Drosophila melanogaster: one gene and its partners. The protein of the gene in region 3 interacts with the protein of the main gene of each other region in a pairwise test. Each region holds a gene or a part of one and is shown on either strand. Other genes may lie near its edges. The genes, in order: scramb1, CG13133, CG34198 and mamo.

Region 1 (10,373 bases), on a different chromosome or scaffold from region 3:
TGTGTGTTCATTGACAACCTTCACACTTTTCCAGTTTTTACCGACATATCGATTCAGTTGCTCAAAGCTCTCGATTTCCCGACAGAGATAGCTACCATTTCCAAGATCCTCGCACTCCTGAAGATCCTTACCGAACACTCCGGACAGAAGCAGCAATGCCAAAACTTGCAACGCCTGCATTTTTACTACTAAAACGAACTTCTGCTTGAGCCAAGTGCAATGCGTTAATTTGAGTTTATTTTTATCAGAGCAAACTCGTTTCAGTTCTTTAGTTCAGCTAAAAGCCGGTTTCCGATTCCATTTACCGAAATCAGCTGATGATTTAGTGATGGCCTCAGTTCCAACGAAAGGAAATTGTTTTCAACACGAAACTTGCTCCGGAAAACACCTATATAGTTTTTTAAAAACATACATTTTCGTTGTGAAACAAAATAATTTAGAAACATTCGAGTATTACGGACTATGAATTTATCTAGGGGTTCCAGCAATTTATCGTTAACCAGTATATAAGTTTATAATTTATTTAACTTTTGTTGTAATACATAAAAAGAAAACCTTCTGTTCCATAATATCAGTAGGGATATATATAAATTTCCTGATGCTTAACAATATACAATGTTAAATATATTTTTCTTTCCATAAGACACTTAACATACAGTTTAAAGTACATGTTTCAATAACGAATCATTCGTTAGTTAGTTGTCGCTTCAGAGCATCAATACAAAATTCATAAATAAAGCTGATTTGTCGTTGAATACTTTACACAAGTAATTGCTGTGGCAAAATAGCAAAAAATGCTAACTTAAAGTTAGTTTTATATTCTGGCAATGTCCTCTCGAAGGAAGCCTGAGTTCAGTATGTTCATCAAAATTAACAAGGAGTTTCATTAGTGCGATCCATTTTCATCAATAAGCATTTGGTACAGAAGACTAGTACGCGACAGTTCACCGGGAAGATATTTGGATAAAGTTGCAACTCAAGATAATGCACAACATTTAATCGTCGCAATCGCATTCGCAATTGCCACAAACGCCACAACAATCGGTTGCAACGCATAAACAATTCACGCACAAGCCAGCACCCGATTCCTAAAGCATTCCGGGCCTATCGGTCTCTTGGTTTCCGGCTTTCTCAAAGAACATGGCATCCTGTGGGGCAAACAGAAAGCATTCGTTTAGAAAACAGACAGAAAACATTGACGAGTGAAGGACTTAGTGCTGGACTAGCCTACTCAAACTAAGCTGGAGGATTTAATGGGCTGGAGGGTCAACATTACCTCAGCACCAACGAAGTCTGCGTTGCAGACGTCTTAACAGCTTGAACCGATAAAAATGAACACTATACAACTGATTGGCAGAGGCCAATGATAAATAACTACAATAAATCTTTGCTGAAAAGAAAACACTTACTATGAGGAATGTGGCACCCAGCAAAACGGCCTTCATGCGCACATCCAAGTCCAGTGGGAAATTGATGCCGAAGAAGTCCGCATCCGTGAAAATTTCACGTGCCAGGCCCGACCACTGTTTCGAGATCTTGCCTATCTTCTCACCAGTGAGCGAAACAACCTGAGAATCAAAAAATATTAGTAAAATCACACAGAACATTTGAATTTTATAAACATACATTGAACTCAACGTCGCCGCAGAGCGAAAAGGTGCAGAAAGGTCCTTCGATGCGCATCACCGTGTCACCCACGTGGTTGAGGATGCGGAAGGATGGCGAACAGATGGACCACTCCTGCTCAATGGTGCCGATAACATTGCCGGGTGGTGCCGAGACCTCGATACTCTGCAGACAGCAGGGAAACAGACAGGAGGAGCAGGCCAGCGGGCGGTGCATGTGGATCACTTCCTGCTGGAAGTTATCAAAGACCCGCATGTCGAAGGGACGCGCAGGACCACAGCAATTGCGCGTGCAGCAGTCGTTGTCCTCCGCCGCGAAATAGACCTTCTGACCCAGGGCGTTCTTGATCGTGAACTTGTTGTTGGTCTCGAAACCAGTGAAGGCCTCGAGCAGCTCGACCTTTTGCTTAACTAAAAGCTGGTCGATAGTCGTAAGGTACTCCAATCCGCGCGGACAGTTCGGAATTCCGGTAGGTATACTCATCCAGTCTCCTGCAAATATAATACTCATCAATATCCATTCTCAATAGAAATGAGTGGCTTAAATTGTTATAAAATTAAATGATACATGCATACAATAAAACATACAACCAAAACAAAGAAGCACCATTCAAACTAAAGACTTTTTCGGTTACGGTATAATTTGATTGAAGGGAATTTAAAAATAAAACTTAAAGTGAACTTTATGAGAATGTTCTCTTTTTCCGACTTCTTATAATCTTGGCGGTCAAATTAAATTAGTGCACACAAAAGGCTAACTTGTTCAGTGCGTTCAGTGGCCAGTGTGTCAATTGGTCAATGTCAGCGACACAATTACTCGGCCTTTCTAATTGGAAGCGTCACAATGGAGCATGCCCCTCCTGACACATCCCATGGATAACCCCCAGCCACAAGCTATTATGCTACCTCACCCATCGGCTCTTGTATCTAATCGGCGGTAGAAAGATAGTCTTTATAACGGGCTCTAAAGATAAATCTACTAATAAATATTTAATTTCACAATGTAAGAAAACCTTGAAAAGATAATTTTACATAATTTGCACCAAACTACAAAAGGCATATCTTAACGAAACTACTTATTTTAAGTATTAGCGTATTTTTATATATTCCTAATCATTCCTTTCACTCACGTTCGTTTTCACTCAATTTTTTTAATCAAAAAGGTAGTGTAATTTATCTATTACCTCGCTGAGTATTTCATTTTTTATACACTCGAAATCTTAAAAGGTTCATCATTTCAACCCGTCATCTTCATCCCTACAGTTTCTGGTCAAGACCACAATATGACTTCCTTACCTCCTGTCCTCGTCGCTCATGTAGAACTCGTATCCCTTTCGCTTGGCCGACTTATTTAGTCTCATTGTGTGCCTGAGTTTCTTGGGCAGTGGTTTGTTGGCTTCCCTGCAAACCAGTTGCCTTAGAGTCTGGGATCTCGAGCAGATCTGATTATACTGGCTATACAGCGAGTGCCAGATTAAGCGCAGCACCTTGGAGCCGCTCCTCACGCCCCTGGAATGAGATTCCTCCGGATTTCCCCGATTTTCGCCACCACTTAGGTCCAGCGTGGAAACACAACTTGCTGGGTTTTCGGTGGACATTTTTTCAGACTGACACGACTGCCTGCTCTGCAGCACAGAGATGAACTAACTGCTCGTTGGGAAAAATCAACGCCATCCACGACGACGGGCGCTTTAAATGACGCTTTGTATTATTTTATTGGTTCAATTAAGGCAGACGCTAGGCACTCCGATAAGCGCCAAAGATCTGGCAAAGATATTCAGCTTATTTCGGACGGATCCGATGCACGTGTAAACAAAAATACAATTGATAAGAGGCGGTCTAAGAACCTTAAAGTCTCTAACACTCTCCAAATTGACTACGTAAATGTTTGCACCCCACTTTGCTTCTGGGGGAACCTTTGTTCTACACCGATCTTGACGAGCTACCTCTATCTGGGACGATGGGTTCAGTGCCTGCACCCGAAGAAATCTTAAGACAACTGATTGGACATTATCTCAATCGCAGGGCAACGACACACCGACACATCACAAAGATGCGATCTTGTTTTGATTCAGCGGTTTGTGTAGTAAAATTATATAAGAAGTAAGCTCAGATATGGAATGAATAATTTTAACAAGGAAGCAGAAAGCGATAAAAGTCTCGTGCCATGATTTGAACACCCTGATTTGTGTAGAAATATGTGAGTCCAACATGTAGAACATTTGTTTTATGTTACAGACTAGTTTTTGATTACTTGCCTGCTGGTCCGCCCTGTGGGGCCATCCCTGGACCCATTCCCGGTCCCATTCCCGGTTGCGTGACAATGGGCTGTTGTGGTTGTCCCGGTGGATAACCGCCGAATGCGTTTGGTGGTCCTCCTGGTCCTGCTGGTCCGGGAGGATATCCGCCGAAGGCCTGGGGCGGTGGTGCTCCTCCTCCGTAGTGTGGCTGTCCACCAGGACCACCTACATAAGGTGGCTGTCCGCCTGGACCACCCGCATAAGGTGGCTGACCACCTGGACCACCCATGTAAGGTGGTTGTCCGGCTCCGTAGGGCGGAGCTTCTCCGTATGGCGGCATTTGGGGAACTGGAGCGTATCCGGCTGGCTGAGGACCTGGCATAAACCCCTGCAACGATCGGGAGTTGATTAAAGAATGAGTTGAATACTTATTTCAGGGGCGTTTCGATTAGTTTTTTGTGCTCTGGCTTGTATTCTTGTAGCTGTACTTATCAGCACTCTGGCACGCAAATGTATGGAGTAAATAAATATTCTATAAGAATGAAAACTTCACGCGGTTGTGCATGAATGATGAGTAATATTTTAAGTTTATCCAAAACTTAATGGAAATAAAACGCTCTTTTGGCATGAGTGAAAAACATAGTGAAAATAGTAAAGCCATAAAAACATTCATACGTAAATGTAAATAAGTAAATGCAAGAGAATTAAGCTTTCGACTTGCTTATCCAGTCTGCATTACTGGTTTTACAGTATGTATGTACATATGGATGTACATTGAGTTCTCAGTTGTTTGTGTTTATCAAACCGCCGATTCCACGGATTCGCGTGCAAATCGAATGAATCTCTTTCATTCCACAGCAAACTGACTGTGTGTCTGTTGATTTATAAATAAGCAAATACCAACTGGCATGACGTCATGGTTGTGTTGTGCTTGTACAAGAAGCACCCTTTACACCACCCACTTTCCCTAGCATTTTCATCGGCTACAGCGGGACACTTTTGGAACTCACGTAATTCGTGGGCGGCGGCGGCTGTGGATGACCGGGTGCGGGGGGATAGGGGGCGTTGTGGCCCCCAGTGGGCGGTGGGTAGCCGAATCCTTCGGCGGGCGGAGCATTTGGCTGGAATCCGGATCCGAAACCGGGTGGGGCGTAACCGCCCTGATTGACGTTACTCTTCATTTCGTGGGATTTCCCCGGATTTTTCCTCTTTTCCTGCTCTTCTTCTGCTCTCCGCGTGCTGCGTTGTTGTTGCACTGGAGGGGAATTGTTGCGGCCACGGCCCCAACGAAATCGCAACAATGTTGTATTTGTTTTGCACGCACTTTCTGTTAAGTACAGTAGTAGTTTCGATAGTAATGCAGTTCGCGAAATCAGGTGGGTTTCGGAGTGTAACCGTGACTGAAGAGCGAAAAAATACCAGCTACACGCTAAATATGCCAAGTTTTTAGCGGACAATTTCTCTGGTTTGAAAGAAGTTAGATAATTCCTAGAATGCATAACTTTAAATACAAAGTTCAGTTATATGAATTAAAATTAACAAATATTAAATATATTTTAAAATTGAATAGATGGCGCCATCAATCTTTTTAACAAAATGTTTACTTGACAATGTAAAAGTCATGTATAAATGAAATGTTTTCATAACAGCATTGCTCTATTATTAGCAGAATACAGCAAGCAAAGACACCATCCAAAATTGAAACGCCCAGTAAAGACTCAAACCTACGAGCTTGTAACTTGGTTTCTTGAAATTTGAATGTGAATCAGTTACATTTAAAAACTAATCTACTACGCTCTGAAATTATTAGTTTATTTAAACGGTATTTATATATTTCCTAAAAAATAAATAAATAATAATATTGTTTTATATACTAAATGCTTAAAGAAAGCGTTTCCCTAACTTTAACATATGCTTATTAAAATAATAAGAATTCGCATAAAGTTACTTATTCAACTAGTTATTATTATTGTTTTCAGCATAATTAAAATTTATGTTTTAGAAGCTATTTAGTAAATAAGGCATTTCCTTTGATTATTAATTTATGTTTTTAAATTGCTTAAATTTACATTTTGTAATATACGTTTTTTCTTGCTTTACTTATACTATAACTATATCAAAAATACAACTGTCCAAATTAAATAGAAACAAAAATCGTATAGTTAAAAAAAAAATGCTGAATAAATCCATTTTGTATGCCACAACTGGCTCAGAGAACAGTCCACATTTTTTCTAATGCGCAAATTTTCATTGAGAGGGTGTGCCTCCCCTACACCTCAAGGGTGCGACAGAGAGGGGCTGCGTGGTAGAAAGGGAGAGAGAGGAATAGAGAGGGCGGCGTAGTTGGCGCGCATAAAAAATGGCGGTTTCCGACGCAAGTAAAACGCAAAAAAAAAAATGATGGAAAAAATGTGGGCAGGGTGAGCGACTGTTGTAAGAGTGAAAGAGACGGGCTGTTGAAATGTGAAAAAAATGCTAAAAACCGTGTATATAGAAAAAAACTGCGAGCAGAATTCCACCCCATGGTCATGGACATCTAGCAGACGTCCCTCACTCACTCACACACACCACGGTAATTACCCATACAAATGCAGCGAGAAATGGAGGAATCGTCATCAGCATTACCGTCATGGTGGAGGACCACCCACACACCGCGCAAAATCACACATTTCGTCCTCGATGCTATAAACTTAGAACCCAATGTCCACTGATATATTTCTATATACTAAATATATTCCTTAAAGGAACACAAAATCCTGCACAATAAAATTTTCACTACGTTTGCGTGATGTTTATTTACAGCTTGACAATTTTAGAACTATTATACGAATGTATAATGGAATATATTATATATTATTAATTGACTTATATAATTTGCCTAAAAGCTATTGTTTCTTTCTGTGCAGGGCGGATTTAGTGGATCTAGAGGGGTCCTGGAGAAGGACTCATCAGGGTCAGGGAAGAAATCCAGAACTGAGCGTTTAATGCGCCATATAACGCAATATTTGTGCTGCTGCTGTGTGGGTGAGTTTAGCACATTCAATTAGTTGACTTTGCAATGGCAGCAAATGCAGAATGCGAAAATAAAACAACCGACTGAGAATTCGCATTCAGAATGGGGACCGGGAACGCGAACATATTTGCGGTTGGCAACCGACCAAAGGCACAAAAGCCGGGCTCAGCAGTGCAGCAGTTGTTGCCAGGCCAGCCCCCTTTTGTGCCACCACCACCTTTTAGCCCCTTTTGGCCCCACCCATGACCTTTGGGCCAGGGCCGTCGCTGAACGGTTCAGTGCAGGAGAGGCTCTCAAAAAATCAGGCAGGCGGCAAGCAGCCAACATAATGCAATGGTAAACAGCCATGCGGGTCCCTACACTGCTACAAAATCCAACATCAATACCAAAGGTTATGCAAAAAAGTTAACTGTGTACATATTAAATATCAAATAGTAATGATCACTTAAATCGACTTACTTTCTTTTGGATATTCAGCAGAAAATTTAAACCACCTATACTATTTTCCACTGTGCACCAAAGACCCTTAAAAAGCCCTGGATCGGGTTTCGTTTGAGCCTTGCAAAGCGCCTCATTAGCCGTCGCTTCGTCCTTAAAGCTGCTGGCAAGGAGCAATTTCGGGCGTTGCTGAACTTTCTGTCCGCCAATCGCAAAGGCGATCTAATTTATGGCCCTGTCTTTAGCCTCGAAATCGAAAGGATCGGAGCGTCTGACAATAAATCAAGTTTCGGAGATGCGATCAAGTGGACTTCTAATGTCCCGATCGATCAAAGCTTCTTTGCCACGCGGCCAAAAAGTTGCAGCTGCTGCCAGAGATCCACAAACCAATGAATCATTGTAGAACATATAAAATACAAAAAGAATCAAAGATGAAGAAGACTAAGCTTACTCAACCAAAAATAAAGAACAAATATCCCGGTTCTTTGAATTCAATTCTAAAGACATTTGATAACAAAGTTTCTCTTACTTCATTTGGAGTACTCCTACTTATCATCAAATTGAAATAAGGTATCAGCCTTCCTTTAATTGAGTTAATTCATTTCGACTGTTAACTAAATAATATGAAATATCCTTTCTTTTAAACAGTAAGGCATATATAAAGCATATGCTTCAAAATCAATAATCTTAATAAATTTCGCCATTGACGAGTCTGCAGTAATCTTTAGACCATATATGGTTTCCCAAATCTGGCGAATCTTCACCATTTAACCGAATCCACATTGCGTCGGGTCAGTTAAGCGTGGGAACACACACATCCCCGTTGCGAAAAATGAAACGAAAAAAATGTGTCAATGCCGCAAAGGGGGGAATTGCAACTGCCACTGCATTTGGTCAATGGCCAGTTGTTTTGGCCCTCCTTTTCGCCAGCTGCGCCATCGAGTGCACATGTGCATATGCCAAATGCAATCACGATGTCGCGATTTCCAAAACGAATGACAGGAAGTGCCGAGCCACAGATACACAAAAAGAGTGAACAAAACGATGTGCTGCAGAGAGAGAAAGAGGGGGGGGGGATTTACACACCTGGCTCAAAGCATTTCACCTTGCGTGGGTCAGTTACCAAGTTCACAAGCGGAATGCCAAAAGGGCGAAAGTGTTTCCTAGCTAATTGCTTAATTACGATCCACGGACACGAAGAAAAAGGTCACAAGCCGGCTGGCCAGTGGAAAACTGGGTCAGAAAAGCCGGCGGAAAAGGGTTGTGCGGCAAAATCTTAATGAGTTTTCATTCTGCCATTGGCCTCGTCCTTCCGAATGTTTTCCAATTAAAAGCACAATGACCCTTCTCCCAGGGCCCTATGCTAATGAGCCCGGCACGCACTTTACTCTTAGCCCGGTCCCTGCAAAAATTAATTACCAACCAAGTGTTGAACTTGAACTTGTTGTCTGACCGTTTTTAAAGCTGGCTAAAAAATCAATAACGAGATTTTTAGCGGGCAGCAGGATTCTAGAAATGAGGAAAGGGTTGCAGGGTGGACCTTGTCTGGTTGCCACATGTCATGGTAAAAAATTTAAATCAGAACCGACAGCAGGACGAGCTAAATGAGTGAGTGTGTGTATTTTTGTCCGATTTTTCTTCCCCTTTTTTTGTGAACCCTTTTCTGCGGCGCTTTGTCCTGGCCGAGTGGCTCAACCCTTTTTCTCGTTTTTTTTTTCTGTATTTTTTCGGCAGGACGCTGGGCAGGACTTTGACAGGATGCTGGTCGCTGGCACACGGTAATTGCTTATTTAAGCGCGCGCCTTTATCCTTCAACGGGATATGCCTGGATATGCAAACAAGGGGCAGCGCCGAGGAGCGGAAAATAAATTTGAAAGAACCGAGATGCGAAACAAAAGGCCAAGTAAATGCCCCGTGTAATTACCGGCCAGCGGAGGGCGGCGAGGGGCGGTGCAGCTGTCTAGCCGGACCATCCGAGGAATATCCAGGATTCAGGACTCAGGACTCCGCAGCGAGTTTGCAGTAGCATCCCGAAATGAACTGCAAATCAAGCTCGGTCAGCGGGTAAGGGTTCGAGGGTAGCGGCGAACCACGGGTCACCGTGCGTGCATATTAAAAATCTTTTCGGCATGAATTTTTACGCTGCCATTTGCGGGGATAAAGCAGAGATTCACACTTCAAATAACGATTTGTAATACATTTTTAAGAAGTCATTGTAATATCTTACATATTAACAACTATTGGTTGCCTTAATTTACAAGACGCTAACTTTAGGCTCCTTAAGTATCCAAAGATACTATTAAGTACAGAATATCCATTCTATTTTTAATGAATTTCTCTAGAATACATTCCGAATTTAGTACGTTTAAGTGCATCTAAAATCATCGAAAAACAATCTAAAATCTAAAATGTTTTTCCCAGTGTAACCCAAAAGGGTTAAGGCCCACTCGCGGGCAGCTTTCGATGTGCAGTCAACTGCGAGGTGCCTGTCTGCCTGCCTCCGAAATAGAGCAGCTGGCACTATCTAGTCTAGCCTATCGCCATCTACAAATCTGAGCGGGTCAGAGGTCATCGCGGCCGAAAGGGGTGGCTCCGATCGATCTGCCTGCCCTTCTGGGGTTTTCACAGATTGTCGCGCTTCGGACTTCGATGATAGATTTGATGGAAAAAAATGGACAGGGTACTGAAAAAACAGACGGACAGCTGGTCGACAAGCGCAAACAACTTTTGTTAACAACTCAATATGCATGGCAGAAAAAACAGCCACAAGACTCTTCGTTCATAAATTAAATAAAGTTGACTTTGGTTGGTGCAGTGGAAAAAAATATAATTAATTTCTATATTATGCAAATAGGATAAGATCAGAACGACGAGATTATAACAGTATCATATCAATACAAAATTTAATATTCCAATGTATAAAGCAGCTTAAGCTAGTAGAAGTCATATACATTTTTATTGGAGTAACTATATGAGTTGTTTGTAGTGTAACTGACTTGATCAGACCGTCGATCTGTTAATGGCTAGGGTTTAGCAAGCGGTTTAGCATGTTGGGGA
Region 2 (6,679 bases), on a different chromosome or scaffold from region 3:
CAATCCCCGTACCAAGTACCCGCACCCTTTTCCGCTTCCCGGAATTGAAAGCGCTACAAATGGCCCGCAAAATGCCTTTGCGTAGGCGTGTGCGCGTGTCTGTGTGCGTGTCCTGTAAATACAACTACAGCCAGTCGGCTGTCAGGATGCGAGTCCGCAGGATGCTAGTCCCTGATGGGGGGGAATCCCCAATCTGCGCTTCATTTGAGCTGATGTGCTTTGGTTGCTGGTCAAACAACTCATAACAACGCATTGGCTGTAAGGTTCAATGGACCAATTATGTCGGCATTGGTGGCGAAGTCTTACGATGTCAGCAAACTCTGTTGTACATGCTCCAAAATCACGGATTTTCCAGCCAGTAATGCCCACTTAGCACTATTCACGAATAGTTCGATACATGGGCAAATGATCGAAACAAAGGCAGGTGCTATACTTGAAACCACTTTATGGGTATTAGCTAGCTTTTAAAGCAAGTATAAAATAACTTTAAGTTGTTACTATGCTCATTCACAAATTGCACTTTGATAAAAGGATAGAAAAGGACACCGTTAAATGTTTAAGCTTCAATTTACCATTAAATCAACTCGGCATGCGAAATGTTTGTTTATATATTCCTACATGTCAATACAGTCGGCGTCTAAGATCCCCTGGCGGAAACAAGTCCTTCAGTATTCTATCCCCCTAGAGAGCTCCAGTTTCCAGCTCCGTTACCGTCTAATGTCGCATCAATTTGCGTAATTAGGTGTCCCGTCCTTCACGCACACCGTCAACTCATCTACAAGTTGGCTAATCCCCGGGGATATTTGATTAGTAGTGGTAGTGTGTGATTGAAAAGTTGCCAGCAGAACATTCCAATCGGCGCCCGCAGTGGATCAAAGGGCATAGAAAATAAAAATTAGTTGTGAGCCGCATACCGATTTCTGCGGAGTCGCGAACCGGGAAATATAAAAACCATGAAACAACAATGGAAATGGCCCATGGCGATGGTCGATGATGGTCAATGTTTTCTCTAGATCCCGGGAGCGGAAGAGGTGCATATGGGTGCGTTTTTATGGACAACAAGGCTGTAGGCCTCATCCAGTTATTTAAGCACGGACACACGCACAATATATATATATATATAAAATATACGATTCCGATTCCATCGGAGTGTTTTATGAGTTCATAAAATGGGTGTGTAGGTGTTTATTATCGTTGTGTTATTTTGGTTTGTCCCCGCCGTCACCAATATGGCATGGGAAATTGAAATTGTGAAGTTGCTTTTCTGCTGAATATTTTATCGCGCGTCCTTCGCCATACTCGTAAATATATGAATATCCTACGGCCCGGAAAGTGAGTCCCCCGACCAATATCTTAAAGCTGCAGGCATCGTAACTAGATTAGAAAACAGGCAGTCCGTCCGGGCATCCGACAGGATGGGCACTACGTTCGGGGATTCCCCTCTTAGTCGAGGGCGCCATATAAAAACTTTATTAAACGCAACTACGCATAAAAACAAAACGATGACAAAGTGTACGCGACCTCGTCTCCTCAATTGGCAATTTTTTCAGCTGCCGCGCTGCGGCCTGCAACAATTCACTTCAAGATGTAGCAAATTTCATTAGAATCGTAACGGGAAAACGTGTCTCAACGGCTAAATTGCAAGGGACCAAGACCGAATCAAAAACGGAGCAGTAGCCCACGATTTTGGGAGAAGGTCGAAGGCTTGATTGGGTTCTTATGAAGTGGGTCACACGCCCCAAAGTGCCCAGCCTTTTATTTTTTTGGTGCAAAATATGTTGGAGCTTAAGATTGTTACCCAACTATTTTTAAACTTATTCTGCAGATAGTAAATCATTTCATCTGACATTTAATTGCAAATCTTTTCATGTATCTCATAGCTTTTGAAAAGAGCTTTGTAGCTATGTTTTATTCCCTTTTTTTTAGAATTTTCTTGGGTCGATAGCCAAACTAAAATACATATGTACGTATGCCTACGTCTATTATACACTTCTAGCTGACTAGCTGGGTTTCTTTATTGTCTTTTTATGGGCCATGTGCCCGAGGATACGAACACAGACAAGAAAAACACAAAAGGTGTTAGTGAATTTTATTCAAATTTGACGCTAATCAAAAGCTGCGTGACAGGAAAGTTAAAAGCAGCGAGAAATCCAATTCGCTTGGGTTTTGAATTCGAGCTGAAGTTTTCCCAGAGGCATGATTTATCCCTGATTTGGGTTTGTTTTCCCGATTAGCTGGAGGATATTTTCATTCGGATTGTACTTGAAATAACAACTTGGTGGAATGAAACATTGTTATCTTTAAATACCTTGATCCGATTTGATTTAGAATTCATTAAATGTAAATATATTTTCCAGTGAAATGTTCATCTTCATTATATTTAATAATTAAGCTCGAAGAAAATGAACAGCCATTGCAAAATACAGTACAAAATAAAACAGAATACCGTTTAAATAAATGATAAGATTAAAGGTGTTAAATTATTTCTTCGAAAAATCTGGAAATATTCAAAACTCTCCTGTTTTCTGATAAAGTCCTTTATTGGCGTTAAACAAAATCACAAGCGGATATGAACTCTTAAACGTTATATTGAAGCTACCTTAAGAAAATTCTACAAAATGTTGACTTCGCCATATTTGCTCACGTTTCGAACGAAGGACTACGTGCTATCTAAGCTGGAACCCAGGAACAATCCGAGTGATTTTGGTTTCCACGAAAAACTCCAACGTGCATGTGCGCCAGGTGACTGGAATGTGCTTCGACTGTCTCTCCGTCTGATATACTGCAACTGCCCTCCAACCGATCGACTGCCTCTGGCGGCCTAAACGCATTTGGACTTCCGCCTCCACTTTGGTATGAGCAAGCGGAACCGCCGCGCAACCGCCAGACGTCGCCGGCTTCATTTGTCCATCGCCGTGCCAGCAGGATTAGCCTCTCCACCATCGCCGTCCACATCCGCCTGCTCGATAGCCTTGGGCGCCGTGGGATCGGACACGCTGCCAAAGTAATTGCCCGTGGGCTCAATCTCGATCTCGCGCTCCACGTCGTCCAGTTTCGGTGGTGCTGGCACCGTAATCATCAGTATTCCGTCCGCAGAGAAGGTGGCCCGTGCCTGTGTGGCATCGTAGTGCCGTGGTAGCTTGTAGGATCGCGTAAACTCGCGAGTGATGCACAACTGACCCTTCTCCGCCCGGTCATCCGCCTGCTTGCCCTCCACGCACACGGTGTCGCTGTTTTTGGCCTTCACCGTGAGCTCAGAGATCTGAAAGTGGTGCACGTCCAGCACCACCTTGAAGGTGCCCCGACCCAGGGAGTCCGGTTCGGTGCCGGTCTCTATGACCACTCGCCCAACCAGACAGGATCCATGGCACCAGGCACTGTCGTCCATCCGCAAGTGAAAGTCCCGCGCACATACGTCCAGGTCGTGGGAGAGATAGTAGTGCCTCTGCCGGCACTTGGACTCCCCGGTGGACCAGTGGCGACGCGGCGGTTGCCAGTGATGGTGACCATGCTCGTGATCATGCTCCCAATCCCAGTCCCAGTGGATGGGCATGACTGCGCCACCGGTTCCCGATGCACGGACTCCGGTTCGTTGGACACACGGAGCAAGCGTGTTGATTTTTGGCTTATGTGGCCAAAAAAACCGTTGCCCTCCGCCCGGTTCGACTCTTACAAGCTAACTGAGTGGATGAGGTTATGGTAATCGCTGGAACTTGGAGCTGCACAACTGTACCTGGCACCAAAGCCACTCTAACTGAGCATATTTCTGTTCCACCTTCAATGGCGTTTTTAAGTACAGTGACTCTTCAGTAGGTGCGACTCCAATTCGATGCAGGAAAGGATCATTTAGAAACATGCACGTAAACCAAAAGATATTCTTTTAATTAAGTTGGCTACAGGTAAATGGCTTTTTACTAAGTGATAACTCTCAATCAGTTACATATATCAGGATTTTACTGTATCGCGTTCCTTCAGTGGGACACGCGTTCCCGGGAAAGTGGGTCTCAGCCTTGTCCGACAACTCGAACTGTTTGATCAATACCCGTCCCACCAGCAGTCCAATCAGCCGCGGAGCTTCGTCCTTTTATTGCACAAGCGGCGCCAAGGAGCCGGAATCGGAAGACGGGACAAGGAGAGCACAGTGCACACAGCGCGAGTTGAGCCAGTTATGAGATAATGCCAAAAATTTTGAATCAAACCGAGTGCTGGAGGAATGGCGAATGGTGTCACTAATTGTACCATTGTCACCCCGCCACGGGAAGAGCAAAGCAAATCCGAGCAACTGAACTCGGCAGACGAGTATGGCAGACGCATTGTGGCAAATGAAACTAATGAAAATCGTGACCCCACAGCAACATTGGATACTTATGCACTAAGAGAAACTGCATGGATATCTATGAAAATCGAAAGCTACTCCATGAAGAGTGGCAAAAGTCCTTGTTAAAATTGTATACTTATTTTAAAATTTGAAATACACTTTTTTTAGTGCGTTTTTTTTTTCAGTGTGACTGCAGTGCTATCCAAACAGCTGTTAACAGGGTGCTATCTTTTACGGAAAATATGGCAAAAGTAAGCAACCAAATTTTCTGATTGGCTGTAGATAATGAAAGCTGCGTCGGATTAAATTTCCCGCCAAATCCTTAAGGCTCGTGGGACCAAATTACAACCACTTCCTCTCGATTTGCACCCTGTATTCGATAGCTGTATTCCATTGTCCTTAGACGACGACGACGACATCGTCGTTGCGTTGTCAAGACAGTTGTTGCCTCTTTGTTGCTGCCATTTTTGTACCACTGCTGCCCCGGGTTGAGCCAATTTGTAAAATATATACGATATATATTTTACTTATGTCTGGTGCTGCTGGGGTCAGGCAATTTGGCTGCTCGCGCTGCATGGCTGCTGAAATTGAATTTTTGCTTTGGCTTTTAAGCAAGTTTGACAAATTTTCAGAGCACGGCCAAAAGTGACTGCAACAGTTTCGTTAGCTTCCAAGCCAAAAGTCGATGTTTTCTTGGCCAAGGGAAAAGCAGAAAAGTCAAAAGGGGATGGGGGCCAAGGGGTAGATGGGTTTGAAATTGCATTGACAGGCAGTCAAGCCCTTCCACTTCATGGCGCTGGGACAAATATAGATTACGCAAGTGCTTAGGGTTAAGCTAATATTAGCAGGAATCTAAATTCCTTCCTCAAAAGGTCAATTGGTTTGCTGGCTACAAATTGTGCACCGCTTTTACATAACACATCGATGCCAAAGACGTCAGAGAAACGTACAGAGCTTAGTTTTTAGCAAGCTCCTGTTGATCGAATTAGCTGGAATTTGTTAGGCAAATAAAATGTGGGAAAAATGGATCTTTGTTGGCTGCTTTTCAGTCTTGAACTCAGTTCAATTCAGACTTTAAAGGTGTTCGCAAGCTTTAAGTAAGCAAAAAGTGGTGTAGTTTGCACAATAAAAGGACCTCGATTATTTCAAGCGATTAAGGATATTTTTGAAAAGTAAAATCCAACAATTAAGACAATCGAAGTTGGCTTAATGAGAAGTATTTGCTTAGCCGCTGCTTCAATAATTGTATTACTACTGTTGTGGCACTTAATCAGCCCAACGGCCTTGTAGTCCTGCAAATCCTCGCCCCAGATTGCAAAGGACACAGGATTAGGGGCGCAATTAATGACCGTGGCCATTGATTATTTTACACACATGTGTGTGTGTGTGTGTGTACCTACCGCCTTCAAATGGCAATTGGAACGCCAAGGCATGTTAATCAAAGCCACCCCTGTTTTGGGAGTTTGGGGCCAGTTAGCCATGGTTGCGGGCCTCTTGGCAACCAGCTTTGGATGCCTTAGTGCCGTGATTGGAAAATAATTGCATTCATTAAGTGGGTTATTGCCTACGACGCTTGCGATAAACATCTGCTAACTGGGTCACAATTTCGGCGACTGGCAATCCAATAGATTAACGGCCGAACGCCTCAGTTTGCGGGCTTAAAGGTATCTGTATCTGAACATAAGGTTCGTTACACTTGGCCACAACGGATTGGTTGATAGTGTTCCGAAAGCTCGAAACTTCATATTCTTAAAATGTAGTTAATGTTACTAGATATGTATACTTATATTTATTGTCCTTTATCTAAGTCTAAACACAATTACTTTATACGTGCCTTAAGCAAACTGTCTAAATGTGCCAATTGGTTGCCAATAGCCATCGGTGGTAACTAATCAGTAGATGGCCAGTATTGGCCATATTTCGATAATAAATAGCATTTGCCCAAGTGAACATCTCCCTGCGGTGAAATCAAGCATTAAAAATTCACTTACTTCCGGTTATTTTAGTACGCAAAAGTAAAGTCATCGGACGGATTTAATGTGTAGTCGTTTGTATAATGCAAAGTTGGTAAATGTCCAAATGAATGACTTCACTCACTTCACTTTAGTTAAAATATTTACTAATACTTGCCTACCCTCCATTTGCGGGGATTTTGGGTGGAGTAAAACACATGTTTGCGGCTTTGTACGGCAGTCATTTTTTACACATCAATGCGTCCGAGTGGGCCACGCAAACTGGGCGAAACTGAAACTGATGGAAGGTCTGCCAGCCACGTGGAGGTCCTGCAGCAAACAAGGATACCATGTACATGTGGGGGATCCGTACAAATATGCATAAAAGTAATCATAAGTCCGGATCCCC
Region 3 (5,971 bases):
GACGATGCTGCTGCCAAGTTATTATAATTAAAGTAAAGTCGAGTCGAGTCGAGTCACAAATGACTGGAGGAGTTTCGCTTTCTTCGCATCGGCTTTATTGTTTCCTTTCTGGAGTTCTGTGAGATGTTATTTGAAAATTCGTTGTCGTCGGTTCCTGGCTGTTTGTTGTCGTCGTTTGTCGTTTGCTGTTTGCTGTTTGCTGTTTGTTGTTTACTGCGCCAAGACAGCCACAAGAACAACAGAGTGTTGGGGCCAGAACAACTCAACAGCTTGGCTTACAACGGAAACGGCAATGGCAACGGCAACAAGCAACATCGGCAGCAACTGCGTGCTATATGCCTTTTTAACTTGATTTAATGAGTGCAGGGAGAGACATCAACAAGAAAAATGAAATAACTGTCATTGAAGACATGAAAAAGGGAGCCACGATGGGGTATAGACCATGTTGGCCCAAGTTTTCTGATGCGTTGTGTTCTGATGGAGCACGAGGCTGCGCTACTTAACTGCCATGCGATGGAAGGGTCCGTCCTTTCTCTGTCCCATCTACGTAGTCCTGGGTGTGGCATGGCGCAATTATGCAGCAAATTAACGCTTTATATTTATTAAAAGGAAACCCAAGAAAATGGGCCTGGGCGTATCCCTCTGAAGAAGGGGATGAATGTGTCCACACGTAGACACTGAATTTTCTTTGACAGCTGGCAACAAAAAAATGTGGTTAGCATTCTGCTGGAAAAGATACCTCGCTTGCTTAAAAGCCTATCTATACGTTTCCTTGTTGAAGATAGAGGAAATAAAAATCTATGCTTGTTTATATTTATGTTTGAGTATTAGCAAGAAGGGTGGTTAACTTTCAAGAAAACATTTCACCAAGCAGTTTTATCAAAAAAGGCGCTACAAGGTCGGTAGTTTAAAAAATCAAAGGGCTGTTATCAGCAGACAATGGATTTTATGATGTTAATGATTTATCGAAACTATCTGTCTGCGTGATATCAAAATTGTGTTGTTAAGGGAATGTGAAATTGAAATAAAACATTTATTGTTAACAAAAGCACTTTGTATTACCATATCAAAATAAGGTTCAGCACTTAAAACCAACTTGTTCGACTTTCCATTAATGCATCGTATATTAAATTGATATGCTTTTAAAACTTTGCTTTGAATGCAAACTTTGAATCATCACTCCGATTAGTCATCCTTAGTTTCAGTCTATATATTTAGCGTTTAGTTTACATAGTTCTTATAGCAATCATTTGACAACAACACAATCTACATGATGACACACAGGCCACACTCCTCCATGACACAACAGGCTCCTAGCAGCATGCAGCACTCGGCGTCACTGGGTCCTTGGGGGGGTCCTGGCTGATTGTAGCTGGGTTGCTCCACCACAACCACCGGCTGGTTGTAAACGGGCGAGGGCATTATCACCTCTACGGGGGGCGGGGGTCCAATAACATTCACCACCTCCACGGGCGGCTGATAGTAGGGATCGATCACGTCCACCTGGTAGCCTGCGTTGTACATTCTCCTTGTTTTACTTTTTTACTAATTTAATGACGGAAACTCCTAGTTGATAACTAGTAACTGGCCTAAACTGCTCGACTAAGTGAGCCCCGTTCGGTAACACGCCTTTAACTGAAACATCGAACACAAATGGTTGGCGGTTTGGTGGAAATATCTTACTCATTATTATCTAAAGCCGGTAGGCATTTGATCAATGCCCTGCCCTGATTACGAATTTGTGTACACGCAAATAACATAGAAAAACTACAGGTACAGTGGAACACATTTGAATATTCATTGGAAAACACACCCAATTTTTTTTAAAAACGTCGCTCAGATAAATATTCTAAATATTATGTGTAGATAAACATTGGCTCAAACTTACCAAATTTGTACCCCATTATTAATTTCTTTCAAGCTAAATAAATAAATATATAATGTAAAAAATCAATAAAAAAAATATCAATCGTAACTAACAATAACCAATGCAGCAAATTGACTATTTTGGATTTTAAAAATTCGTTCAAGCGATTTACACCACTTGCTGTTTCTAAACTTGGCCCCAACCGCTTTCTAAAAAAGGCAGTACTGGTATTTCCATTTTTATTAAGATTACATGTTAGCCCAAGTATCTCAAGTATTTTATATTAAACTTGGAAAACAGGTTAAAAGTGTTAAATTTTCCTACTCTGTTAAACTATGGGATTTTTTCAGCCTGTTCACTTCGATATCAATACCACGGTTTTCCGTCTGAATTATCACAGTGCGTATGAGTAATAAGGTTTGGGCTTTAGATAAACGTTTGGCAAAGAAGCATTGCGAGTCAGAAATTATGTTAAATGAGCAGACTACTAACTTTGGAAAAAGGCACTCGCATTCGTTGTCCGACTCCCGCCCACATAATGTCCCACTTTGGGGACCCTCGTCAAAATATTTGGGGCGAGAGCTCCGACGCTGCGGTTGCAATTCAAGAGCCAAGAGTCATAAAATCCTTTATCAAATGAGAGCAGCATGGGCCTGGAACCGGAGTTGGCAGCACTCTTGACACATTTTCCGCTTTTATTGGCAAATTGAGAAACATATAAATAATAACTCGGAATGTGAACTAACTTTGAAATGATGTGGTGAGCATTTCCAGCAGCCAAAAAGGATTGTCCCCCTGCTCGCGCATCATAAAACTACAAATTTTTGTGGGATGTTATTAAATTTGGCTTTTTATTATATTGTGGTACTTTCGCATTGGGATTTATGTAAGACAATATGTTACCAAGCGTGTTCCCTTCGCCACAAAAAAAATGGCAACCACAGTGTGAGCCCTACACAGAGTTATTTATAACGAATCGTAAAATTTTATTGCACGAAAAAACTGTGTGAATTGTTTGCGGCCTCCATAGACATAGAAAGTTAATTTAACGTAACGAATTAGGGGTTCTGAGGTCCTTTGCCTGCGGGCACCTTCGTCTTTCACATGATGGTGCAGCAGCAACAGCATTCGCCACACTGACAGCAACAGGGGCAGCAAGGACAACAACAGCAACTGTTATCCTTGGGAGGAGGCGGCGGCGGAGGAGGTTGCACGATCACCGTGGTCGAGGGTTGGGGTGGCACTTGCACCACCTCCACAACGCGAGTTCTGTGGTCCATTTCGATTGGTTGTAATCCGGTTGTTTTCAATTATAAAATGTACTTGTTGCACCGCACGCGTTTAGTTCGGCACTGGTCATATTGTTGGGATTGTGCTATTATAGCCGCGCTCTCGGCAATCTCTGCTATGGGTGTTATCTATAGATAAAAGCAACTGGAACTCTTATCAGTGGCCAGCGATTTGTGTGAAGTACCTAGCGATTCGTTGGGGTCCCACCTTGGTTGTCTAACCAGCTTTATGATAGAAAACTACAAAATCGATAGGTTATTTATTACATGATTTTATTTATGAATTCGCTGCATTCAAGCGTTGTTGTTCAAATAAACAAAGGCCTTTCTTGTAACTTACAAGTTATGCAAAATCTGATAATATACTGATAATTTTTATCGGGTTTGCTGTATACTGTATTATCTGATGTTTATTTTTCTTGCAATTCAACAAACAACGTCATCATCATTTTCCAAGCCCTAAGATGTCTATATATTTGGTTATATTTTTATATTTTTTATCTTATACTCTATTCTTTGTTATTTACTTTTACTTGGAGTCAGATTAGCACTTTAATTAAACTCGTGTTCGGCACTCTCATTCCCCTATGACTTTATCAAATGAATGACTCACATTACACAAACTATCGGGGGAAACTTGAAACACACAAATGTCGCATAATGCCAAATGGGGCAGCTAATTATATATGCCACCTTATCTGAGCACTCAAAACTATATCCGACGACGCATTTTGCATTCAAAACCAACCATTCGAGTGGCCCCATCAGCATCAGCGGCCACATCAATTTCGGGCGAATAGTTCCTCGTTGCTATCAAATAGCGGAGATCTCAATTAAAATTTTCACCCAACACCGCAGATGGGGTATGTGTAAGGTGGTTGGTTGGCTTTTAGAGCGGCGTTACCTTGCTGAAATTAATAAAAATATATATTTTTGAGCGCCCTTCGTGCAATGGCGATGATAATTAGTGTACGTGATTCTATTTACTTCGACTGGGTCCCCAAACCTCGATGGATCCCCGTAGCATCCCCAGTTGGGAAAGGGGTTGGTTGGTTGGCTGGTCGGTTGGTCGGAGGGTCCTTTAAGGCAAGGGAATGTCCCTGTGTGTTTGGAGGGTGTAATATGATATGCGCGTAAAAAATATAGTACGTGTGTGCGTGACAATGGCAACAACGTGCGGCAGATCCCTAAAAAAGGAACGGATGGGGAACATCGGTTTTGGGGGACCGGCGACGAATGCCGGGTGTCAAAAATGAAACTACGCCTGCTCGGAATTTTAAAATAAGCAAATGAGTTTTAGCTTGATGAAAGCCAGCAACAACAGTAAGCAACAGCAGCACCCCATAAATATTTATAAACTTTCCCCTGTCATATAAATACAGGGTCATTAGTTGGCTTGCGCACCTTACGCCGGAGGTTCCATTCCCTCCTCGAGGATAATAAAAACGAACTAGGCGGCAATTTAAATTCCTCTACTAATAGAGTCGTTACTTTCCTCCGACTCCAAGAACATAACTAAAGGGTTAATGGGGTTCACGCAGATTTATTATTGGGAGGGTTGTTTAAAACCGGAAAGGGGAAGTGGGAGCACTGTTGTTTTAACCAGTGTAAAGCAACAGTTAAGAACTGCAGTAAAGGCAAAGAATCCATTAAAAATATTACAAATCAGGCAAATAAGTTTCCTTATTACAAGCCATGAAAATATTTCAATTAGAACAAATTTAAATCCACTGTTCGGGTTTATAAATAGAGTATACGCAGTGTTGTCCAAATGCAACAATGGTAGGTTGAACTTTGGTCAGAACCAAGCCTATTGGCACTGTTTCTGTATAGACACATATAATATATATAAAAATGATAAAGCAAAATGGCGAAAAGTGGCAGTAAAAAATAAAATGCGCTGCCGCAAAAGTGCCATTTGTGGCATAAACACATGCGCGCCAAAAACTTTGATAAGACAAAAGCCGAGCCGAGGCTACCAAACCAGGTAGGCAATAGCTGGCAGGTGGGTAGGCGTGCCATGTGGGTGGTTGTTAAAAAAGTGGCAAGCGGCAGGATGAAGGCCAAAAACTTTGCCAAGTACGGCGGCGGCGGGAGAGCCAGAGTGGAAATGTCGCAAGAATGAACTTCGTCGTTGGATCCTGCGACCGCAGTGTGCCACTAAATGCTGCCACTAAATGTGTGCCAAGTATTATTGCAGGTGCCACCAGGTGCCTATCTACACACACACACACACACACGCGTGTGTGTGTGCCAGTTCTCTGCCGAAATTGCCCAAGGAGCACGAGGAGCAAAAGGAGCTGCTTCTTGAGGTGTTCGCCGCGCCAGCGGGACTGGCATAAAATTAGCACAATAAAAACACATAAATGCGGCACAAAAACATGAAAATCCACTTGTTATAATTTAATCGAGTTGATAGAATTTTTACGACTCTTCTCCAGGTATATGTACAATATATAAGTTAGTGTGTGTTTCTCTCAGAGCCTTTGCTTAAAATGTGGGACAAAGTAAAAGTTTTAATCACACGTCGCCATTTTATTGCTGGTCATGAAGATAGCAAATGCATTACGAACTTTACGTGGGATAAACTTTAGTTTAAATAGAAATGTTAATGAACGAAATCACTTACGTTTTACGAGCACATTTACTTTCTTTAAATATAGAATTAACATTTAGTAACAAGTTAAATTAAAACACAAATATTTAAAATTTATATTTATTTCTTTGGTGTAACCGTAAAATAGTAAAACAAATGTAAAATAGTCAAGTATATAATATTAACCACCTTGGGAGTCGACATCCTGGCCGCTGACCA
Region 4 (8,102 bases), on a different chromosome or scaffold from region 3:
AAAAAAAAAAATATATATATATATATGTATATATATATAAATAAAATTAAAATTGTCTTAATTTTGCGGCTAAGTGCTGGAGAAAATTTGCTTGTGAAGAGCATATAAAATAGTTCCCGTTCTTTCATAGAATTGTGCAGTTTAAAATTTTTTCTTAATTAAGACTGTTGCCAGCGGAATATATTTCTTATCTGTGTGCAATATTTTACACCTTAGATCATCCAGTTGGGGCCTAAATATTATATATATATTTTAACAACAATTCTACTTCAATGCCCATCAAAATTTGGCTAGATGTGTAGATCAAATGACTGCAAGGCAAAACGAATCTTGAATCTTTTTGGATTATTTTGTATTTTTTATAAACTTCTTTCTTAAACAAATATTTGTTGGCATCATTGTAAATTAATATATATATGTAACACTATTATTTTAATAGAGTTTTTCAATTTGTGATATTGAACCGAAAGTTACTAAATAGAACTTAAAATGTATGCATACTTGGAAATTAATTTTTCCAAATTTAATACATTTAAAACATTTCGCATGCTCTTGATAAGCAAAATGCTCGATTAAAAATTTAAATTTAAATATGGCAAGAATGCTTCAAAGAGTAATTTTTCAAAGTAAAAAGCTTGAAAAGTTCTTAAGCTCTATATAACCTTTAAAAAGACGGAAAAACGATGCTATATATGATATTTTTTTTAGGTATATAAAAAAATCCTTTTTAACTACATTTTTAAAATTTATAAAAAAAAAAACTCTTGTAAAATTGCGAAACTAAATTCTTTAAAATATTCAAGATCAAATTTCCGCAACTTGTGTTAAACCAAAAATCACATATAATTTTGCCCGAAAAAATCCTGGAAAATGTGTGCTAGAAGATTTCCTACCTTACTTGCCGTTAAACACATTGATCTTGAAATAGTTGACAGCGTGGCGGATTTCCACTCAATCTTGGCCAGAGTTTGAGTTCTATTCCTCTTCCTTTTCCTTTTGGCGGCACGGCTCTCTTTTGGGCCGAAAAGTAGCGGCCTCTTTGAAGGCCGAGTGCGAGAGAGTTTCGCGAACTGCAACGTCGACGTCGACGCTGGCAGACACACACATGCAATGCGTTTTTCGCTTTTTGCTCCACTCTTTTCGGCCTTTTCGCTCTTTCGGAGCGAGGTTTTCACTCGCGAATTCGAGTGAAGTTGCGACCACTATATTTTTGCGTTCTGCTACTTCTTCTCCTTTTTTTTTTTTTTGCATTCTATGAGTGTGCGGGTGTGTGTGTGTGTGCTGCTGCTGCCGCTGCTGCTGCTGCTGCTGCTGCTGTTGCTGCTGCTGCTGTTGCTGTTGTCGTCATCGGCGGTCCGGCAACGTAAACGAAACGTATCGAAAACGTATTGAATCATAACAGATCCGCACGTTGTCGCGCACGTACGCAGTCCGCGGAAGAAAAGCTACAGCTCTCTCTCTGTCTCGGCTAACAAACACACCAAACACACATTCACACACACCTATTCCAACTGCAACGGCAACTGCAACACAACTGCAACACAAAACAACAACCTGCGGCAACAGCAGCAACAACAACAACAACAACACAACAATTCAAAACATCAATCACGAATAAAAAAAAAAGTCAAATATTATCAATCATCCATCGACAAAAAATCGCATTTTTTCCTGTGTCGAAAGTAATTTCTAAATAAAATTCTTCCCTTTACAAAAATACCCGCAAAATATATATTTATATTAGCAGTAAAAAATCCAACATCGCGCCGCGTAACTTCATTATTTTTTTCAAGTGTTTTTAAGAATTTTTTTTTTTTTGAATATAAAATATTGCAAGTGAAAGCAGCAGCAACTATTTTTGATTTTAGCAAATTGTGCTGTTTCTCAAAAAGTGTTTATGACAAAGTGCTAGAAAAACCGGAAGGACCACATATATATAATATACAAAAAATTACAGAATTTTCGTATTTTGTGTTTGTTGAGGATCACTTAAGTGCCCCAAAAGGTCATGTGTTTTTCTAAGGATTTTAATCATGCATAGCCAAGTTAAAAGTCTTAAGAGGGAAACTAGTGATGTTGCGTTTTCCAAGGACAACTAAAGTCATTCAAAGGATATTGTTTATCATTTCGAAAATGCATAATGTTTCATGTTTCATTTGTACACCATTTTATGTTTGAATTTGTGTGCTTACTCATTCTTATTTACAAGTGTTGACAAGTTCTAATAATAACATTTCGAAACCACGAAAGGAAAGATTCAAATATCCAGTGTTTTGAAGGATTGAAACTATGTTTTTAAGAAGTTAGTTGCAGTTATAAAGAATGTCAATTCCGAATTAAGTGTATAAATATTTTAGGCAAATTTTTAGTAGCTAGGTAGTGGCTATTTATTGCAACAGGCCCTCAAAAAATAATATGTAACTAATATTGTAATGTGTTTTCTTAAATTGTCACTTGTCCTGAATTTGTGAATTGATTAACAAGTGCCAAAAAAAAAACCCAAAAAAAAAAAAAAAAAAAAAAACTGCAGCTTAGACATCAGATTAGAAATTGCCGACGGAATATCGCAGAGCTCTGTTGAAAATATTCTGAGCGGAATTTTTAGTGCATATTAGAACTCTAAATATTAAATGATATTTCAATGATTTTTTTACTGTTTCTTTTTTATGTCAATTTGGCAATTGCATTGTATTATTTAAAGTTTAAATATTTCCATACTTCAATTTTAAATGTATTTGTATTATACTCAACTAAAACTTTTAAGGTTTTAGTGTGAAAGTAATTGTAATTAAAGATTACAATTTTCGATTTTAAATTTTGTATGAAAATGAATTAAAACGAATTGCCACATTTTTCATTTAGCCTTATTCATGTGCTTTACTACTAATTTTGTGGCATGCACATAAAATCGCACTTTTTTTTAAACCAGTGAATAAACATAATTATTTAAAAATGATAAGTTCATCATTTTTGTTGGAAAATGTATTAAAACTTGTTAGATTTATTAAAGCAAATTTATTGAATTTAATAAAAAATTTAAAAGAATAGTTTCGAACCTTGTTTTTTTTGTTTTGTTGAATTTATCAGTTTTTAATATTTTTCTTGCAAACCATTAAAATCGATCAGATTGCATTCCGTTTTAAGATTGATAAAAATGATAGTTTCAATTTTATTTGAGTGATTTGAGGGCATATATGGCATTATTAAAAATAATGCACATTCAACTAGAGTTCTTGTCCTGCGTATTAATTTGTTGGACCTTTCTTTGTCCTTTTATTTGAACCCCAAAAACTTTCGGGAAACATATGGCAGACGGTTGTGTGAGTGTTTGTGGGTTTTATTTTCTGAATGATATGTTGCTGCACTCGTACAGATTACGCATACGCTGCGTTGTCCACTGCGAAGAGAGAGAGAGAGCGAGCGAGCGAAAAGAGAGAGCGCCGCACCGTGCACTTTCTGCGATTGAGTGAAAGAGAAAAAGTGACTCGCGGTGGGAAACGAGGTGCATTTTGGCTCAGCTTTGCTGCGTTTTTCACCGACGCTGCTCTTTTACGAAGCGCGTGCGGCGCTCTTAGTACAAGCACACACCACTCACACACACACACACACACACACACACATACGTATGGACTACGATGTGCAGGGGCACCCACACATAGGCGAACGGGAATCACTCGGCAATACGAAGCAACGCAGTCGCAGTCGCAGCGCTGCCGCCGCGCTGCCAACGCCAATGCTCTTTGGGTTTTGGGCTTTTGGCCAGGCTTTTTGGTTTTGCAGCTCTGTCGGCTTTGGACTTTCGCAGAGATTTCACACGCGATGCGATTGCAGTTCTTGCAGACACTTTCATACGTTCGTTCGTGTTTATTTTCGTTAGCCTTAGCCGCAAACAGCAAATAAATTACATTTTGCCAAGCGACAAAATATTCAAATATTTTACGAATATTTGTACGGAAAATATTTTGGATTCTTTATCGTTTATTTTTTTTTTCTTCTTTATTTTTGTGCGCGGTTTTTGGAAACACGAATTTCGAGTAATAGGTCCTTTTGCATTCATTTCTGTCCTTCATTCATGAAATTAATTTTTTTTTGAATTTTTTTCAAGTGCTCTGCGTCGGTTTCTAACACTAGTTTTTGTATACTTTTTCCCAGGCATAAACTTAAACACAACAAAAATGTTTTATAAATATATTATTATAAAATAAAAAATTACAAATAAATGAAGTAACAGCGAAAGTTTTTAACAAAGTCAACAACAACAACAACCACACAAAAGAAGCAAGAAAATCCTTAAGCGTAATTTTTTTGTATTTCAACAATGCAACAACCACAACAACTACATCTACAACAGGGGCAACAACTGCAGCAGCAACAACAACCGCAAGAACAACAACATCAACAACAACCACAACAACCAAATGAAACAACAACTCAAGGCGGCTTTGCACGTGTGTGTGTGTGAACAACAACAACAACAACAACAACAACAACAAAAGCGACAACAAGCTAAAAACTTTAGAAAAACTTACAACAACTTTTTTGGACTTGGAGCATTTTTCGAAATCTAAACAGCCTAAAGTAAATACCGAAAAATATCCCGCAATTATTTTGTGTTTTTTTCCCCATCTCAAAAACTACAATTTCATTTCAAATAGAAAAACGCAAACAATTTAAACAAAAAACATGCTCTAAGGTTGTGTTAAAGGAAATTAAACCTATTTTGCACCTTAATTCTTTGATTTCAACAAAATTACAACAATTTTTTCCAAGTGAAAAATTTGTGCGAACCGCAGAAAACAGAAAAGTGGAAATAAACAAAAATCAAGTCAAATTTAATTCAATGCAAACAGCAAGTGCAACAACAACATCAACAACAACAACAACCACAAGAAATTCACCCAAAACATCAACAACAACAAAACCAACAACTGCGGCAAAGGCATCAACAACAACACCAACAACAAGAAGAAGAACGAGAACAAAGTTTTGAAACTGCGGTGTTTGGCGTTTATGGTGAGTTTTTTTTTACTTTTCAAACAATTTTTCAAATCATCGAATCATTTATTTGGCACTTCGTTTGCGATATTATTTTATCAAGTGTTTGCGTGGGTCAAAAATCGAACACGAAGTGCTACTCGATAAGAAAAGTGTTAGGTTTGGATGAATTTTGGCCATAAATGGATTAATAGCAAAAGTGTGAAGTGAGAGGAATGGAAAGTGTTGGACAAAAACTTGTTTGCGATTAATTTTGTCCATAGAAGCCTTGAATAAACTATAACTTTGAATTGCAAAAAAAAAACGGCGTTAATTAAATAAAATATTTGCAAAATTACTAGCCATTGGTGACTTAACTAAAATAAGGTGCTAAACAATTTAACTTTGATAAGAAATACACTTTAGGGTCATTGCTACTATAAATGTATGCTAGATATAATATTTTTGATTATATATATATAATATTTGTATATTATTATTCAGACAGACTTCAGTTATTGCTGATTATAAAGAACTTAATCGTAATGCCTATAGTTAAGTGTGAAGATAAACATAAGTTAGTTGATATAAAAAATGGCAATAAAACACCCAGACGTATACATAACTCTATTCACGAATCAGTTTTGTTACCCTTTCCATATATATATATATATATATATATATATATATTTTTTTTTTATCAACCGCTCTTTTGGCGACGACTGTAGCACTTCCCGTTTGAACCGGATGCGCTTTTGGAAAAATTTGCTGAATGTTATCAAATATGTAAAATGGAAATGCACTTTTCTGGGCCACAACAACTGGCAAAAAATAAAATGCATATATCGACAAAGCAAAAAGAGACAAAAAAAAAAAAATAAAGAAATAAATAGTAAGCCAATCAATAAATTGGCAAAAAGAAAAGTAAGTTAACTAAATGCTTGGTCAGTTTTAGAAGTCGCCAGCGAATAGAATCGGCAAGAAGAAAATTCTCGAACTTCCGGCGCCACCAGAGGCGCCAACTAATCATCGCTTTTTTTTTTTGTTTAGCTTAGTTAATCAGGAAATTGGGCAAAAAAAAAAAAACGCTAAAGAAATTGGAAAACTTTAAGATTCAACTTGAATAGATGACATGTTTTGTTAGCACTATAGAATGTTATAAACGTAGTGTAAGTTATGTTAGATTTTATTTTAAGTATTATAAGCAATATATCTCCTTTATATAGCTACGATTTGAAACGAATATAATTTATTAAGCTTATATAAGTGTTTTGTTCTAAAATTAAAGTGGATTTTTTTTTTTAAGAGAAGTCTGCACTTCATGTAATTAAAAACCCACAACACAAGACCTTAACAAGACGAAACGCACTGTCTAGCTTCTTAGCGCGCCTTATCCTCATTCCCATCGCTGTCTCTCGACTTTATCGCAATTATAAATATTTATAAGAAATGAGTCCATACAAACGAATATCATTCCCATTGCACTTGGTGGGGGGTTTTTGAGCGCCGTTTTAATGGCTTCTTTCGTGTTTTTTTTTTTTTTGTTTCTGTTTTGTTTTTCAAATAGTATTATTTTTTATTATTTTTTGCCATACTGCGCAGACGCAACAAGATTTGCAAAATATTCTAATATCATATAGTATATCATGTTTTATTTTTTGACATTTCCATTTCGTTTAATTTCAGTTACATTTTCGTTTGCAAAAATTCATTACAATTCGCGTAATTGCGTTGCCTTTGTGTGGATATTGTTCGTGTGTTTTTCTTCTCTTTTTTTATGTGCAACAGTTTTCGCTCGTGTGTTTTTTTCTAATTATTTTCCGCGAGTGTGATTGTGTGTGTGTGTGTGTGAGTGTGCCTGTGAGTGCAACTAATGAGCAACTGCCGGTCGACTTGCCAGCGGTTGAAATTATTAACTCATTATGGGGTCTCGGGTGTTTTAAGTGCCTCAAGTCAGCCTGTTTTGTTTCGTTTCGTATTTTTTCTCCTCTTTTTTTGTTGTTGTTTTTTTTTTTAATGGCTTGCGTGCGTTTTTTTTTGTTTGTTTGTGCATCTCTTAATATTTTTTTTTTTTTTTTTTTGTGTGCAGTTGGCGGCAATTGAATAAGGTGCAACATTGTTGGCAGACGGATTCTCCTCGTATAAATGAGCAGAATTAATTGAAATGGCCGAAAAGGTAAAGAGAGGCGAGTACAGGGTAGCTCTGAGCCCAAATGCTTAAGTGCTGGTAATTGTTTTGTGGCTTGAGCAACCATTGATTAATGGCGGTTAATGTGCTGAAAAATTGCAAATGTGCTACACAGTTTCACCTGTTGTGCTGAACACGTTTTTCAATAAAAGCTAGTGCAAAAAATTAAGTATTAAGTTAACATAGCATAAGAACCTTAAGTACATATTTGCTGAACAAATATATTGCTTAAAAATCAAATTAAGTACATAGTACATATATAAAACGAATAGCAGAAAACATGTATAAATATATATTGTACATTGAATTATGTTTAAATTGACATAAACTAATTACATTAATTTTTATAGACATGAGAGAGAGAGAGTGAGGGCAAAAAATCGTCACAAACCCAAGGGATGTGTAAAAAAAATTGCCAATGGCCTTTTTTGCTAGTGCCGAAAGCGCCATAAAAAAACATGGGATATTCTACGTACAATACCCAAGCCGTAACAGTCATTCCCCAAACCGATTTTTGGCGCTTGGCTTGCCGTTGTCTAGACAAATCAATATAATCCAGACGGCAAATGGCCAATATAAAAAGAACTACATATAACAAAAATATTACGCATACGCCCGGCTGGATTCGTCGGGCGAAAAAAAAAGTGCAGCAAATTAAACAAAATTTTTAGATTTCCTCAACAAGTTCGCTTTTATGTTTTGTTTTGTATTTCATGGAGCCTTCTTTTTCTGTCTGTCTGGAGTATGTAAATATATATGTGTATATGCCTACAAATATATATATATATATATATATATATATTACGTATATATATATATATAAACGTCTATATTTGCATTTGACAAAATAAGTGCATGGGCGCAAGCAAGAAAAAGAAAGCAACGAAAGGCAAATAAAAAAAAAAAATAGAAAGAAAGAATTCCGTTAAATGTTTCAGGA

What was found.
Region 1: the proteins of CG34198 (region 3) and scramb1 interact in a two-hybrid assay, tested with the Drosophila melanogaster proteins (one large-scale study listed by BioGRID).
Region 2: the proteins of CG34198 (region 3) and CG13133 interact in a two-hybrid assay, tested with the Drosophila melanogaster proteins (one large-scale study listed by BioGRID).
Region 4: the proteins of CG34198 (region 3) and mamo interact in a two-hybrid assay, tested with the Drosophila melanogaster proteins (one large-scale study listed by BioGRID).

What each region holds. Positions count from the first base shown.
Region 1 is NT_037436.4:10,219,985-10,230,357, forward strand, and holds scramb1 (scramblase 1), read right to left. Parts: upstream 5,257-10,373; 5' UTR 5,047-5,256; coding exon 4,876-5,046; intron 4,254-4,875; coding exon 3,884-4,253; intron 3,277-3,883; exon of another isoform or gene 3,224-3,276; coding exon of another isoform or gene 2,922-3,223; intron 2,118-2,921; coding exon 1,627-2,117; intron 1,569-1,626; coding exon 1,410-1,568; intron 1,149-1,409; coding exon 1,089-1,148; 3' UTR 501-1,088; downstream 1-500. Other genes in the region: CG32055 (uncharacterized protein), read right to left, coding at 1-180.
Region 2 is NT_033779.5:10,088,683-10,095,361, forward strand, and holds CG13133 (uncharacterized protein), read right to left. Parts: upstream 3,708-6,679; 5' UTR 3,554-3,707; coding exon 2,900-3,553; 3' UTR 2,526-2,899; downstream 1-2,525.
Region 3 is NT_033778.4:19,679,753-19,685,723, forward strand, and holds CG34198 (uncharacterized protein), read right to left. Parts: upstream 3,226-5,971; 5' UTR 3,148-3,225; coding exon 2,968-3,147; 3' UTR 2,694-2,967; downstream 1-2,693. Other genes in the region: CG15127 (uncharacterized protein), read right to left, coding at 1,267-1,524; CG15128 (uncharacterized protein), read right to left, coding at 5,934-5,971.
Region 4 is NC_004354.4:13,982,125-13,990,226, reverse strand, and holds the start of mamo (maternal gene required for meiosis), read left to right. Parts: upstream 1-3,784; 5' UTR 3,785-3,856; intron 3,857-4,152; 5' UTR 4,153-5,013; intron 5,014-8,102.